Canis lupus familiaris: one gene and its partners. The protein of the gene in region 1 purifies or fractionates together with the protein of each later gene. This does not show direct contact. Links are inferred from orthologs where the notes say so. Each region holds a gene or a part of one and is shown in the gene's direction. Other genes may lie near its edges. The genes, in order: ATP1A1, RHOA, VDAC1 and EGFR.

Region 1 (3,561 bases):
TAAAAGGGAAAGGGCGGGACGCCTGGGTGGCTGAGCGGTTAAGCATCTGCCTTGGGCTCAAGGCATGATCCTGGAGTCCCAGGATCGAGTCCCTCATCCGCTCCCTGCATGGAGCCTGCTTCTCCCTCTGCCTGTGTCCCTGCTACTCCCTCTGCCTGTGTCTCTGCCTCTCTCTAGTATCTCTCATGAATAAATAACATCTTTAAAAAGTAAGAAAATAAAGGGGGAAAGGGCAAGGACTTTATAATGGAAGGTTCACAGTGTCAGCTTCCTGGTATCTGACAACTTTTATACTCCTGCCTCTCGTCCCCAGGTTCCTGCTATCTCCCTGGCTTATGAGCAAGCTGAGAGCGACATCATGAAGAGACAGCCCAGAAACCCCAAAACGGACAAGCTTGTGAATGAGCGGCTGATCAGCATGGCCTATGGACAGATCGGTAAGCTGCTGCTGGTGACCTTGCACCCCAACTCTCTCCACCCCCAGGGCTTGGTTCCTGCTCTATCAGCAGTGGAACATGACCTCTAACAGGTGGGCAGTGAAAATGCCCTTTGATCCTAAATGCTCTGCCTACTGGCCTTCAGGAGAAGCCGGCAAGGCCACTGTGAGCAGCCCAGGCCTTTGGATTAATAGGTTGTAGTACTGTGAACACTTGGGTAAAATGGAACAGATAAGAACGTTGTAGAAATAGGACAGAGACTTGTCGACAGTTGCTGAGAAGAGGTTGGCTACTGGCCGGGAAGACCTAAGTTTAACAAGGAAGACTAGGTCCAGAGCATAGGACGAAATCTTGCCCTGAGGAATTCAGGATAGTGTGGTGTGGGATCAGAGGCCAGAGGAGAAGCGTCCTGAAAGTGGTAGGAGGAGGAGAAGGGTTGGGTCAGAAAATTCACTTATTTTGAATGTGTGAAAACTGAGATGGGAAAATAGTCGTGTTGTATCAGAGATTAAAAAATAGGGATGCGTTTTTCCCCCCTAAAAAGGCTCTGCCCCCATAGAGATACATGACCATGTAATAGCAGTGGGTGTTTCGGGGGTTTCAGAGTAAGGCCTGTGTGTCTTCCCCTTTTAAAGCTCTAAAAAGTGATTCAAAAAGAGAAGAGGGCACCGAGTGAGGGCTATGTCCCTGGGATCCTCCATCCTTCTAGTCCTCTCTCAACCAGTGACAGCCGCCCCTAAGTCCCCTCCCAGGCTTCCTGCAGCACTCAGATGAAGTATGTGCAGATGCCCTGGAATCAGGTTAGAATTGTTTTTCCACCCCTGCAGGTATGATCCAGGCCTTGGGGGGCTTCTTCACTTACTTTGTGATTCTGGCTGAGAACGGCTTCCTCCCGACCCACCTGCTGGGCCTCCGAGTGGACTGGGATGACCGCTGGATCAACGACGTGGAGGACAGCTATGGGCAGCAGTGGGTGAGTGAGGGCCCAAACAGTGGGAGCTCCTTAGGCCCCCCGAGGACAGTGGCCACTCAGCCTCTGGCCATGCAGGCCAAGAGCCGGCTCACCTGTCTGCCTTCTGTGTTTCAGACCTACGAACAGAGGAAAATCGTGGAGTTCACTTGCCACACGGCCTTCTTCGTCAGTATCGTGGTGGTGCAGTGGGCTGACTTGGTCATCTGTAAGACCAGGAGGAACTCAGTCTTCCAGCAGGGGATGAAGTGAGTAGAGGACACTCAGGGCCCTCACGGGAGGCATCTTGGTGATCTCTAAACTCCCCGAACCCAATACATGGCAGTTTCTGGAAAATCCCCTCTTTTGGAACAGATTTAGGAAGCAAGATGTGATTCTCCGGGTTTTTTTTTTCATCTGCCCGCAAGTTCCTAAGTACAACTGACACATAAAGACCTTGATCTGTCTTTTAACACATAGCATTAGAAGAGAAACATCTGATTGCATTCTTAAGCTTTTTCTTCCCTTGATTTTAGGAACAAGATCCTAATATTTGGCCTCTTTGAAGAGACGGCCCTTGCTGCTTTCCTGTCCTACTGCCCTGGAATGGGTGTTGCCCTGAGGATGTACCCCCTCAAGTAAGTTGCTCCTCTTCCAGCTCCGCAAAGTGTGAGAGAAAAGTGGAACTTCTCTCATGATGTGCACTAGTAACTATTACTGTTAGGAATTTGGGGTGGCACATCCAAGAATTTCTCTGGCTGGAAATTAGGAAGGATTGACCAGTGTCCTTAGGCTTTACCTGGGATCAGGCCAGACAGGCTCTGGTACCTTGGGATTGCTCACCAGCTAACTGCATCAGTGCTCAGGCCACCTTCAGCAACTGTCTAGTTGTCATTAGAGGCAGACCAGAGAGGCCTAGGGCTTGGAATGGGTTCAAATCTTGATTTACCTGCCTAGTTCCTGTGTGTCCTATCACAGGCCCCCGCCTTTGGGCCTCGGAATCCTCTGTTTTCAAAGGAAGAAGGTGGGAGAAGCAGGCTTGAAGTAGATCACAGTAGAGTAGACCAAAGGAAGCTGACCACTAAGTCTTTGCTCAGGATCAGACTAGCCTTTTTTTAAACACAGTGAAGGACTCTGTGGTAGACCCTGTATGTGAAAAATTCAGGTTTATCACAAGTGCAAATTCCAGTAGTTTTTTTTTTTTTTTTTTTAAGATTTTATTTATTTATTCATGAGAGACACAGAAAGAGAGGCAGAGACACAGTCAGAGGGAGAAGCAGGCTCCATGCAGGGAGCCTAATGTGGGACTCAATCCCAGGACCCCAGGGTCATGCCCTGAGCTGAAGGCAGATGCTCAACCACTGAGCCACCCAGGCGTCCCTCCAGTAGCTTTTTGAAACAAAAGAGTGTGGTGGTATCTGCTAGCTGGTTGAGGTTAAACAGTTGTAACTTGATTAAAAGATGCTAAAGTACAAAATATGGCACCCCTGTAACATGACCTTTTGATTCAAAAGTCTCAAAAAAAAAAAAAAAAAGAAAAGAAAAAAAGTCTCCCCACCCTTGGGGCGCCTAGGTGGCTTAGTTGGTTAGTTGTCTGACTCTTGATTTCAGGTCATGGTCTCAGGGTCATGGGATCAAGCCCCACATAGGGCTCTGTGCTCAGCAAGGAGTCTGCTTGAGATTCTCCCTCTCTCACTGTGCCCACACCCCCCATCCCCCAACCCACACATACACCCCAAAACTCTTAAAAAAAAATTCTCCCCAGCCTTGCTCTCAGATCCATCCTACCTGGCTGGTAGCCATCACCTCCTTCCACTGACCCCATCCCTGAAGTAGCCAAGCCCCATGAGCCTCCCTGGCATCTTGTTGGGTCTGTACAGATATCCCCTGTGTGCAAGGGTAGCCTGGCATCTAGGGTCTCTCACTATTGTCCAAATGGTCTTTCTAGCCTTCTCTTGTAGCCATCCAAGCTTCTGTTGGGTGAATTCAGTATTCTTTCCCCGCATACATATTTTGGTAAGGATGCTTCCTCCCACCCCACTAGTTTGGATAATCCTTCAGGACTGGTTTCCCGGGAGCTTGTCCCATGTGGTCTCACCCTCCTGGATTGGTGTACTTGCACCCCTTCTTTGGTATTACTTGTCATTTCTGTTCCCCACTAGCTTATAATCTTTA
Region 2 (4,299 bases), on another chromosome or scaffold:
GTGATCCTAGACACCCAGGATCAAGTCCCATGTCAGGCTCCCTGCATGGAGCCTGCTTCTCCCTCTGCCTGTGTCTCTCATGAATAAATAAAACCTTAAAAAAAAAAAAAAGGACAAAGCCTCCTGCCTTTCTAAATTGAGGGGCTTGCAGTAGAGTTGAACTCAACAGACCTGCTACTTTATCTCTGAGATTTTGACAGTAGCACCACCAGCCCCACAGGTTGCTGAATAGCCTATCAATGGGCTGTTAAATTGGTATCATTCGAAGCCTGAGCTCCACTTGCAAGCCTTTGAGCTTGCTGCAAAGGCCACTAAACTGGTGGACTCCTGCCCTGAGAACTTCCTAGCCCTGTCCCTGTTCCCAGCATAGATGTGTCTTCTGCCTGCCAAGCATGGGGTTGACATGGGCACAGATTTACTTACCACGAAGTGAAATGCGTGGAGCCATCAGGTGTGGATCCGTTCTGGCCGCCCAGACCTGGGGGCAGGAACACATCCAGAGCTGCAGCAGGCTTGGGGTGGGAATCTGAGCAGGTATCAGCCCAGATCAAGTTAAAGGCCAGTGATGTTGTTTGATGGAGTCTTGTGGGGGCCTTAAAGGGACTAGTGGTATTGTCTGATGGAGGTTCAAGGGAGCGGTTAAAATGTGATGGGTGGTCCGGGATTTCTGGCATGAAATGGTATGTTGGCATGGGTCAGGGTAGAGCATAAAGTTGTGATGAGGTTCTTAGGAGACCAGTGGTAGTCTAGGGAGTTCTGGGGAGCCCAATGATGCAGTCCGGTGGGGATGGGGAGCCTCACCTGGGCGGTGATACAGCCCTGTTACCGTGCTCCCGTAGAACCCCCACGCCAGCTGGATGCCCAGGAGACTTATCACCAACCACAGTAGCAGCAGCTTGAAGAGGGTAACGCGCATGTCCTGCGCCTCCCACTCCCGCAGGAACTCGCTGCCCAGGGTGCCCAGTGTGCCCAGCACCAAGGTCGGCAGAGACTGCAAGGACTGCCCAGACCAAGGCTCCGCCATGACTGGCCCATGCCCCACCCGGGACTGTCACTATAGCACCCACTGCGCAGGCGTCTGGTCTTCCGGGCCAGGCCCGTTAATGCGCACGCGTAAACCAGGCAAGGCGAGTCTACTTCGCTTGCGCGAAGAGTTGGCAGTTTGGGGAGGAGTACTAAAACCGCGCACGCGCACCTAGCCCCACCCTGCTTACTTAAACGATGAGTGAGACGAGGAGCATAAAATAGCAACCAGGTCTTTTATAGCCCCGGAGTTCCCGTGATGCCCCACGCGGCTGCAGTGATTGGTTAAGCGCCCTGCTATTAGGGCGTGGACGCGCTCCTGAGCAATCGTGGCTGAGCTGTAAGTGTGCGCGCGTGCGCGGGGCCGCGGCTGGGGCCGGCTCGAGCCCGCTGGCACACGGGGGCGCGCACGTCGCTCCCCGCCCTCCCGCCGCCGACCGCCCTCGCTCGCGCTCCCCGCCCGCCGCCCGCCGTCCTCCGTCGGTTCTCTCGTTAGTTCGCCGTGGTCTTCTCAGCCACCCGCCCCAGTCTCCGAGCTTCCGACTCGCGGACAGGCGCACTCGGCGCAGAGAGGCCGGACTGCGAGTCGTCGCCTGAGGTGAGCCGAGAGGGTTCTCTCCTGGCGCCGCGGCGCCCCGGGCCCGCCCGCCGCTCTTCCGGCCTCCCGCCCGCCCGCCGCCCCGCCGCGGCCGCGCCCCACCTGCTGCTCTCAACCGGCTGCCCCTGGGCCCCGGCCCCAGCCTTCTGGCCGGGGCCCCGCTCCCCAAAGCGACGGCCCCGCCCGCGCAGTCCCCGGAAGCGCGCCCCGCGGCCTCCCGCGCCCCTTCCCCCGCCCGGCCAGGCCTGGTGGAGCCCAAGACGCCCGCCCGCGGTCCCTGGCTCTTCCTCTCTCACGGCCGTGCGGGGCAGGGCGGGGGCTTCGAGCTGGGCCCGGCGACCGCGCGGTGCAGCGGGTCCCTGCGAAGCGCGCGTGGCTGTCGGGAGTTGAAATGGGAAAGAAACTCTTTACAACTCCATCTTGGCTTTTGCATTGAATATGAAACATGAATCACCGTTTTATACGGTGTGAAGTCCAGATATGTTTTGGGTAGATTTTCTTTTTAAATGCAGTAGTTTCGGAGATTGTGTAAGTAAAGTAGTGTTGAAATCTTACGGGTTAGGATTCTTGGGTATTGAGAAGGGAATTTTCCAGTTGAAAACACTTTTTCATGATTTAAACTCTATTGCATTGAAATAGAGTATTAATTTGCAACTTTGCTTAGTCTAAGTTATTACCTTGATTGGAATCCCCTAAACATCTGTCTTTAGTTACCGATTGAACCCAGTTACAAGCTGTCTTTATTAAATAGCACTGTTTGCACTCAAATCGATTTGGTCAAGACAATGTGCAGTAGTTTATGGTGGAAAATTGGTATCCTTTTTTATCACAGTGTTTTCCACTTGTGTTTTTTTAATGGTCCTGATTTAAAGTTTTTACCAATATTGGTGATATGTTTCCTTCTTTTGGTGTTTGTCTTTGAAGTAAATGTTTTTTTATTCAGGTATGCATTTTATAGCCCTCCCTGCCAGATCTGAAGGGGAAAAATACTTAAAATTCTTTAAAATGTTATTTGTGGTGAGAATTTTTCAGTCATTTAATTTTTCAACCACTAAATGGTTGAAAATGGTACATATATGTACCATTGCAGGATTGTCACTTTAGACATGGCTAAATTGGTAGAGATACTGGTATGAGCGTTGGGCGTGACATTGTTTGGCCTGAAAGTACAAGACTAATTCTTAATTGTGAAGGAAAACTTAAAGATCTTTTGATAAATTGTTTTTTTGGTAGTTCCATCTACTTTTGTAGATGAGTGGTGGCCCTTGGGAAGCTAACAAAATAGAAGAAAACTCACTTTGAGTCAGAGTCTAGGCTTAGAGTTATGGCTTCTTTTCTCATAAAAAATTTGTACTGGAGGGAAGAAGAGAATAGAAATCCACTGACTTTTTCGTAGATCTAGAATTTTAGACCCAAAGGTATCTTCAGGACTTACGGTCTAACCCTATTTGCAGATGAGGAAACTGAGTCTCAGAGACTTACATAAATTTCCTAAGGTCATTTTTCTGGTCAGGTGCAGGCCAGAACTCTGAGGTATTCTTGTACTCTGAAACAGCTTGCTTAGAGTTAAGTAAAATTCAGGACTTATTTCCAGTATTTTCTTCTTTTACATATTACTGATTTTATATATGTTTTGAGAACCTGAAAAATTCATTTCTAAACAAACTCAGTTCTTTAGCTTTCACTGCGCTCTCCTCCCCGGAACTGGATGGTCCTACAGCAGTTGATTGAAATACATAAATGAATATACAGAGTCCCTGCTTGGCCTAGTTTTAGCTTTAGGTGTTTTGGGGGTTTTGTTCGCTTGTTTGTTTGTTTGTTTTTTTTAGAGATTTATTTAACCATTTGAGAGAGAGCACGAGCATGGGGAGGTTTTGAGGAAGAGAGAGAAACCCTAGCTGACTCCTCCCTGAGCTCGGAGGCCAACTTTGAGCCGAATCTCACAACCTGGAGATCATGATCTGAGCTGAAACCAAGAGTCTGATGCTCGACTGAGTGTACCACCCAGGGGTGTTTGGGTCTTCTTGAGGGAACAACTTCTTCCAATGTGAGGCCCAGACTCCCCTGCTCCAAAGCCCAACATAATTAGGTCAGACCAAGATGTTATAATGTGACTGAGGGCTCTTTTGCCTATTAATTTGAGGTGGGATGGTGAGAAACTGCACATATTAAGTAAATAGTTCTGTGTATGTGTGGCAGTAGTTTTATCGTATTCTCTTGTCCTGGTTGTTCTTAGAGGAGAGTGAAAACAGGTAGATATTGAGGTGGAATTCAAGCTGTGACAGGAGGAGGAGTTGCTACTTTGGGTTGTTTTAGTTCTAGAGCTGAGAGATTTATGTTAACTCTCAGAAGACAGACTGATACTTCAGCTTCTAAGAGAACGAATTTGGGCTTGCTGAGCTTCTCTAGACAACACTTTGGGTTTAATTGTATTTGGCTGCTAGTGATAATGATAAATGGTACATAATCACTGGATTTTAATCACATATATTTGTACTTTAAAAGGTACTTAAAAGTTATTTTACCTTCCTGTAGCACTTAGTTTTTAGTCTTTCATGTCCCTGGCTAGAGGAATTTTGTTTGCACCTACATATTAATGTAACTAAATTTTAAACATGTGTGTTAATGTGTCTTACTATACTGTGCTCTTTGGGGATATGCTCACTGTTAAGTACTTG
Region 3 (4,339 bases), on another chromosome or scaffold:
TCCCCAGGATATGGTCTGTTTCTCTTTTGTGGACTGGTTTCATTCTTAGGGTCTTTTTTAAAAATTTTATAAAGATTTTATTTATCCCCTGCAGGGAGCCTGTTGCAGGACTTGGTATCAGGACCCTGGAATCACAACCTGAGCCAAAGGCAGACTCAGTAACTGAGCCACCCAGGTGCCCCAGCGCAAGTCTTTATTTCAAAAGCCCTGAAGTCTGACGAAGATCATTGGTCCATCCTGTAGCCAGTAGGGTGCAGTGCTTTGATTGGTCCAAGAAAGGGCCTGGAGTCAGGGATGGAGTTAGCTCCATCAAAGCTTATGGAATGACTGGAGAGAGAGAAGGGTCATTCCCTCCAAAGAAACACTGTTATACCTGACCTGGGTTTATTAGCTCATAATTGCAAGGGAGGACCTGATTGGCTGCTCTTGGGTCAGGTGCCCCCCCTCCAGTCCGAACCTGGCAAGAAAGAAGGAAGGTGGGGCTGGAGGTGGCAGAGCCAAGCCTGGCATAACCTGCTGCCTGGTTCAGCTCTTCCTTTGGGGCTGTGGTGGGGAGCAGTCAACACTAGGGTCTGAGGATGCCATGTTGCACCAGATTTCTTCAGTGTTTTTGGAGTGCTTGCTTCCCATTTTAAACTTGCCCCAACCCTCTGAAATTGCAGCTGAGCAGTTAGCCCAGTTGCCCAGAGTCACACAGCCAGTGAGTCAAAGAACACTCGTGTGATTCATCTGAAAGTGACACCTGGGGGAGCCCCAGAAGGGACCCAGAGCAGGTGGGGTATGGGGAACTCTTCCCACAATCAGGGTCCTGAAAGGTGGTTTGGCAAGGAGGTGCTGGAGAGGAGGGGAACACTTAGGACCTTTGGTCCAAGCATCACACCTGGGCTTTACTGACCCAGGGTGAGATATCTGCTCCTAGCTCCTGTGACATTTCTGGAGCCCCATCTTCCCCTAGAGCTATCTGGCTCTGCCCTGCCTCCTTGAGGTCCTGTCCTCCCAAAGGCGGCTTTCCTGCGCTCATGGGTGACTCAGTGGCTTTCCTTGCCTCACCCTCTCCAGGAGTGTGCCGGGGCCTTTGTGTGTGGAGCGGGAATGACCAGGCTGGGAAGCTCTGAGCCCTCCAGTTAGCCATGGAGCAGCTCGTGGGCCTGGGGAGAGTTCCAGCATGAGCGCTCCACGCTCCAGGACCTCAGGGGGTTTAGCGTGCTTAGACCAGAGACCCCTACAGAGCCCGGTGCACTTTGCACCGCCCCCGCCCCCCCCTTCCCAACCCCATAAGCTGGTGCCCTTCTTCTCGGCATCCGGGCCCCATCGGAACACCAGTCAGTTGCCTTTTCCTCCTCCCGCTGCCCTCGGCCCAGCAGCCTGTCCTCTGGCCTCTGCCGCCGCCCCAGCCGCCTGCTCCTTTAATCGGCGCCACAGCTGGTGGTGAGCGAGCGTCGGGGTCCCGGAGCCCCTGCCTCCTCCACGGGCCCCGAGGCGCGGAGAACGAACGTTTGTTGGCGGAGGCCAAAGCCGCGCAGCCCCTCCGACCGGCCACGAGGCTCTGCGCAATTCTGGGTGACGGAGGCCGCCGGCTCGGGCGGGGCGGGGGCTCCCCGGGGGCCCGGGCTGGCTCCCGCCTCCCGTCTGCGCTCTCGGGCTCCCAGCGGGGGACGTTCTGCCGAAGCGCGGTTTGCTGTTTTCACTTCGCAAAAGCTCCGAAAATGGCCACTGGCAGTCTCGCTCCCGGGGAAAGTGCCTGCTACTCTGGAGCGCAAAAGCTCGGCGCACCCGGGTTGCTCGGCGCTTGGCCCTCGGCCGCCGCGGCCGGCACGCGTGTCCCCGCGCACGCACCCCTCGCGCGCCGCCTCGTCCCGCGCCGGGGCCCTCGCCGCCCCCCTCCGCGCGCCCGCACTCGCCCGGGGCACCGCGTCGGGGCAGGCGCCGAGGGCGCGCGGAGGGGGCGGCGGGCGCGGGCGCGGGCGCGGGCGCGGGGACCGGGCCCCGGCCTGGGCGGTGTCCGGGGCGGGCCCAGGGGCGGGGCTCGCGTGCCCGGGTGCGCAGGGTCGGGGCGGGTCCGCGCCGCCGCCGTCCGCGCCGCCCCGCCCCGCCCTCGGCCCGGCCGTGCGCTCGGTTCCTCGCGCAGCAGCCTCCGCGGTAGGTGCCGCCGAGCCCGCCGCCGAGCCCGCCGCCGCCCGCGAGGTAGGCACCTCGGCCGGGGACCCGCGCCCCGCAGGCGCCCGGGGGGGCGGGCCGGGCCGCGGGAGCTGAGCGGGAGGCGGTGGAGGGAGGAGCCGCGCGGACGGGGGGCCGAGGGCCGGGCCGGGCCGGGCCGGGCGGCGCGGGGGAGCGGAGCGGGGCGGGAGCGGGGCGGGAGCGGGGCGGGAGCGGGGCGCCCCGCGAGGGCCTGGGCGGGCAGCGGCGGGCGCAGCAGGCCTCGGCGGGCGGCCCGGGCGGGGAGCGGGCGGCCGGACGCCCCGGGGCGCCTGCGGCTGGGGCTCGAGCCTGCGGGGACCGCGGGGACCGCGGGCGGAAGGGCACGGGCCGCGCGTGAGGGCCCGGCCGGCTGCAGGTCTCGGTGACCTTTGCCGGCGGCGCCCTCTGGACCTGGGTCCCGCCCTCGCGGCCCGGCGGGGGACCGCCCGCCACCCACGCTCGCCGGGCTCGGCCCACGGACCGGCGCGGGCCATGCGGTGGCCGCGGGGATGAGCCGCTGTGATGACCGAGGCCCAGCCCGGCCCCGGCCCCGGCCCCGGCCCCCGCACCGGCCCCCGGCCCCCGGCCCCGCACGCCCTGCCCGGCCCGTGGGTGCACGCCCAGGGACGCTGGCGCCCGGCCTTGTCCGCGGGTCCTAGGCCTCTAGGGCCCGGGCGGGGGGCTAGGCCTTGGGAAGGGAGGCCCGGCGGGAGCGGGATGTGGCCTCCTTGGCCTCTGGAGCGCCTCCCGGTTTGTTTGCTCGTTCATTCACGGAGCGCGGCGGCGCCTTCACGAAACTGGCTCGGAGCCCTTGGATTTCCGGACTTGCAATCCCAGTGACTTGTCCAAGGTCACACTCAGCAGGCCTGAGTGCTCTCATCTGTAGAATAGGAGCAGTTACAGCTCTCCCTCGTTGGGTTTTTGGGAAGAATAAAATGAGTTGGTCAACACGAAGCCTTCAGGGGAAAGCTGGACAGCCTTGAGGCTTTTTGGGAGGATTTAGCCCATCCTCTGCAGACCATTTTACTCCACGTGGTGTTCTGGAAAGGGTTCAATAAACAGCCAGCTGCTGTTATTTTAAACATTATTACTAAGCACTTGTATACTGGGCACTGAGTAATTTTCAGGATAATTCATGAAAAATCCTTATAGAAGTTTATAGACAGACAAGGTCAGGCTGAAGCAGGAAGTTGCCTTTGGGTGCAGAGCTGAGGGAAGCCTAGCCTTGTTTGACCCATTCCCTTGACCAGCCTCACCTCTCTGGAGGAGATAGAGAATGGATCCCTCCTTTTCTGCATTCACTGTTGGCAAGGCCAGGGCAGACTGCCCAGGGCTTGCCTTGTTTCTCCAGCCCAGCTCTGGACTGAGTTCTACAGGGTTAGGCTTAAGCCTTATGCAGCTTTGTTTTCAGCGCCTGGGGTGGTGCCACTTGACCCACATTAGGTACTTGAGAAGGGTCTGTGGGGGCAAATGCAATCTTGCTTTTTATCCAAGAAGCAACTCACCCTTACTGAGAGAAGGATAGTTTTTACGATGGCAGCATGTGGCTTAGAGTAGGTGCTCATTAAGTATTTGTGAAATTATTGAATGGGCATATGTAGTGGATGCAGGCCCAGACCAGAGTTTCTTGATCTTGGACATCCTAAGGGACACACACTCATTCACTTCCAGCAAATACCCTTGCTTAGGAGAGAGTCACAGATATTTAAAGACTCGCAGTTGAATGTACAGCCCTGGAGCACTGAGATGCAGATCTGTTTCCTTTTTTTTTTTTTTTTTTAAGATTTTTAAATTTTATTTATTCATAGAGACAGAGAGAGAGGCAGAGACACAGGCAGAGGGAGAAGCGGGCTCCCTGCAGGGAGCCCGATGTGGGATTCGATCCTGGGTCTCCAGGATCACGACCCAGGCTGTAGGCGGTGCTAAACCACTGCGCCACCGGGGCTGCCCGCAGATCTGTTTCCTAATTTGAAATCTGCTTTAAACCTATTACCTTCGTTATGTGACTTTTTCACATCCTGTGGGAAACTTGTAGAACTGGTGTTTCTGGGCCTGCAGGGTGGTGGTGGTGGGGTGACCCCAGTGAGTCGGGATTCTCCTAAGGTTTTGGGCCTGGTGCTTTTCCTCTTTCTGATGAGTGGATTGGTAAAATGCTTGACCC
Region 4 (3,561 bases), on another chromosome or scaffold:
GTGCTGCTGGTCTCCTACACAGGGCTCCTCGCTTTCCTCAGGAGCAGGCTGTGGAAAGGGAGGAGGAGGAGGAAAAGGTTGAGGGAGAAACAGAGACAAGGAGAGAGGAGGAATCTCCAAGTTAAACTTTTGTCATCCTGTGTATGATGTCTCCTCATTCGGTGCTGTCTCAACTAGTCCATTCCCTGTCTTGGTGTCCAGTGAGCTTCCCAAAAATGCAAGTCTCTTTCCTATGGTTTCCATCATTTGCAGACCACAACCGAGCTCAAGGTGTCCAAGTAACCGGACACTTCTTCCAGGCTTCTGCTCCAGCAGTAGCTCCTGGTTCTCAGCACCCATCAGCTGCTTTCTTGCCTTCCTGCTCCTGTTCAGGACTTCCCTCCCTTCAGGGTGAATGACTTTTGCCCAATCACTTGATGGAAACCTATTGATAGCCTTATAGAGTTCTAGCACAGAGTTGGGTGGTTCAAATGATTGTTCAGTAAATGGATAGATCGATGAATCAGTGCATCAACAGGTGGAGGGATAGATGGATGAATGGATAGATGAATCCATGGATGAATGGATAGATGAGTGGGAAGGTGGATGGATGGGTAGGTGCATGGATGCATAGATGAGTGGACAGATGAGTGGATAGATAGTTGGGTGAATAGGTGAATGGACAGATGAATGGATATGGGTGATGGATGGATGAATAGAGAGGTGGAAGGATCGATGGATGCATATGTGCATAGATACATAGACAAGTATACGGATTGATGAGTGAGTAGATAGATGGATAGATGAATGGGTGGATGCATGGGTGGAAAAGATGAACCTATGGTTTTTGAAGCGTATTTGGATATTTGAGAGGTTAGAACATGCTCTCTATTCCCAGGCACAAAAAAAAAATGCAGTGCATATAATAATGATATTAACGTTTATTCAGCCCCCACAATGCCACTGGGGTTAAAGATACTAAATGAACAAGGAACAGGCTTTTCCCTGGAGGAGCTTTAAAAAAAAAACTCTTATAATTTTCAGAAGTTGTGATACAGACTTCCTGCAATATGACTTACAATCAGTGCGAGGCAGTTTGTAGTAAACAGAAGGTGGTCCAGAAAATAAAAATAACGTTTTTAGTGATATAATCTTTTCATAATTTTTAACAACGTTATGTTTCTTCTCCCCGCGACAGTGGCCAGTTTTCTCTGGCGGTCGTCGGCCTGAACATAACGTCCTTGGGATTACGCTCCCTCAAGGAGATAAGCGATGGAGATGTGATCATCTCTGGAAACCGAAAATTGTGCTATGCAAATACAATAAACTGGAAGAAACTCTTTGGGACTTCAAGTCAGAAAACCAAAATTATAAACAACAAAGATGAAAAAGCCTGCAGTAAGTAATCACTCTGGTTGATTGTGGAGATGGTTCACATGGATCATTTCTTTTGATTTAGAATATTCCCAAACAGGGCACCTGGGTGGCTCAGTGGTTGAGCATCCGCCTTTGGCTCGGGTCATGATCCCGGGGTCCTGGGATCGAGTCCTGCATCAGGTTCCCTGCAGGGAGACTGCTTCCCCTCTGCCTGTGTCTCTGCCCCTCTCCCTGTCTCTGTGTCTCTCACGAATAAATAAATAAAATCCTTTAAAAAAATTTATTTTAAAAAGGAATATCCCCAAACATTTAAGTTACATTTTTCATTCCTGAAGAAGCAGATTAAAAGAAATCTGTATATTCCTAAATGTGAAGTTATCGTGTAAAGTTCATTGGAATTGTTTCCAAATCACTCACATGTCATAGGATGGATTTGCCTTGAGATTTAAGCTATCAATTATTTATTTATAATTTACAGAACTGAGTTTTGTATACATTATCTTACCTTTTAGCCTCTGATGAACGTAGCTAGCAACACATACACACACGCACGTGCACACACACACGTGCACACGCGTGCAGGTAGAATGAACATTTACACTGACATTTTCTAGTCTGAGTTTAGAGTCCCAGGCAGCTCTTGAAGCCAGGCGTGCCCGTTACCTGGTCACTGGGAGAAGCAGATCTGAGGTCACACCCTGACTCTAGCCCTTCCCAGCTTCCAGACTGTGGTCAGTTTACTCAGCATGTGTAGGCCTCGGCTTCCTCAGTGATTCTCACTGCTTGGGAGAGAATTAAATGGAATTTTACATGTAAAACTCTTGGCATGGTGCCCAGCACACGGCAAGGCCCACAAACCTTCCCTGTGTTTCCATCAGCTATGACATTCATCCGCAAAATGCTACCCAGCTCCAGGCCAGGAACCCTTGACTCCCCGCAGGGAAGAGGAACTTGTAGTTGGCCTCTGGAAGCCCGTTGTGTGTCATCGCTTCTTCCAGGCCCCCCCACCCCACCCCGCCATGTCCATGCAGCTCAAGGTCACAGAGAGCCCAGCATCCCACTTACAGGAGCGGTCTCAAGTGGCCCCTCCAGTCACTGTGCCATAGCTGACCCCTTGTGTCTCGGTCTGTCTTCTCAGAGGCCATAGGCCACGTCTGCCATCCATTGTGCTCCTCAGAAGGCTGCTGGGGCCCAGGGCCGAGAGACTGCGTGTCCTGCCGAAACGTCAGCCGTGGCAAGGAATGTGTGGAAAAGTGCAACATTCTGGAGGGGTAAGGCTATCTCTTAACCCCTTTTGTTTTCATTAAAAAATAATAATAAGGCGATTGTTTTTATAGGTTTACAGTTACTTCACTTTGAAACTTATCCTTTTGTTTTTTTCCCTTTTTCTTTGGTCTTTATTTCTTGACAACTGTTAATCACAAAAGGAAATGAACAAACTTTTTTCATTACTTAATCCTATCCACTAATTTAGAGAGTCTCTATTTTTGGAAATACCTGATAATTTTCTCAGCCACACAGAGTTCCCAAGACAAATGGAAAAGTCAGAAATGGTTTGTGTGGCCAAGACCACAGCCGTTTAGACTTTTCTTTGGAATTACTCTTCCTGGCATGTCAAAATATCCTAGTATAAATTACATTTCCCGGTTAATTTGTTTCATGTTCAACAAATACCAAACTGTGCAAATAACTTTAAATGTAACCATGGACAAAGAAATAAACAAGCATATAACATAACCATTGTTAAATTTATTTGCCATCAATAGAAAGTCCAATCTGTTGCTTCTGTGGGAATCTTGATACTGATGTCAAGCTTTTTGCATGACCTCAAATAATGACTAAGAATAAATTAATAGGAAAGTAAAATTGAAGGATAGAGAGAGGCAGAGGTGCTTTTTTTTGTTTTTTAATGTAAAGAAAAGGGGAAATTTTGTGAGAGAGAAGAGCCATGGGAATTACAGATGGCTACAGGAACCATCCTTCTTGTTCGCTTTCAGCGCTTGGGCCACAGTACGGATCCAGAAATATTTAGGAACAGGATGAGAAGCCCAAGTCCAACTCTGTAGGAATCCTTTAGCAGGTGCGCTCGGTCACCTAACAGAGTCCTTTGTATAATTGACAGTGTTGCTTCAACAAGTAAGAAATATTGGTGCAATCGTTACTGCTGCAAACAGACATGAATCTCATGGTTTCCACATCTTCTTA

What was found.
Region 2: the proteins of ATP1A1 (region 1) and RHOA purify together in Homo sapiens (affinity purification with mass spectrometry; 3 studies listed by BioGRID and IntAct, with this or other methods). This does not show direct contact. The link is inferred for Canis lupus familiaris from reciprocal best matches to the Homo sapiens genes ATP1A1 and RHOA.
Region 3: the proteins of ATP1A1 (region 1) and VDAC1 fractionate together in Homo sapiens (co-fractionation; 3 studies listed by BioGRID, with this or other methods). This does not show direct contact. The link is inferred for Canis lupus familiaris from reciprocal best matches to the Homo sapiens genes ATP1A1 and VDAC1.
Region 4: the proteins of ATP1A1 (region 1) and EGFR purify together in Homo sapiens (affinity purification with mass spectrometry; 4 studies listed by BioGRID and IntAct, with this or other methods). This does not show direct contact. The link is inferred for Canis lupus familiaris from reciprocal best matches to the Homo sapiens genes ATP1A1 and EGFR.

The regions. Positions count from the first base shown.
Region 1 is NC_049238.1:54,370,184-54,373,744, forward strand, and holds part of ATP1A1 (sodium/potassium-transporting ATPase subunit alpha-1), read left to right. Parts: intron 1-313; coding exon 314-437; intron 438-1,264; coding exon 1,265-1,410; intron 1,411-1,524; coding exon 1,525-1,655; intron 1,656-1,922; coding exon 1,923-2,024; intron 2,025-3,561. UniProt on the Homo sapiens protein: This is the catalytic component of the active enzyme, which catalyzes the hydrolysis of ATP coupled with the exchange of sodium and potassium ions across the plasma membrane.
Region 2 is NC_049241.1:40,230,099-40,234,397, forward strand, and holds the start of RHOA (transforming protein RhoA), read left to right. Parts: upstream 1-1,452; 5' UTR 1,453-1,621; intron 1,622-4,299. Other genes in the region: TCTA (T-cell leukemia translocation-altered gene protein), read right to left, coding at 424-526, 802-1,024. UniProt on the Homo sapiens protein: Small GTPase which cycles between an active GTP-bound and an inactive GDP-bound state.
Region 3 is NC_049232.1:22,230,512-22,234,850, reverse strand, and holds the start of VDAC1 (voltage-dependent anion-selective channel protein 1), read left to right. Parts: upstream 1-1,539; 5' UTR 1,540-1,560; intron 1,561-2,084; exon of another isoform or gene 2,085-2,184; intron 2,185-4,339. UniProt on the Homo sapiens protein: Non-selective voltage-gated ion channel that mediates the transport of anions and cations through the mitochondrion outer membrane and plasma membrane.
Region 4 is NC_049239.1:6,117,839-6,121,399, forward strand, and holds part of EGFR (epidermal growth factor receptor), read left to right. Parts: intron 1-1,177; coding exon 1,178-1,377; intron 1,378-2,494; coding exon 2,495-2,627; intron 2,628-3,561. UniProt on the Homo sapiens protein: Receptor tyrosine kinase binding ligands of the EGF family and activating several signaling cascades to convert extracellular cues into appropriate cellular responses.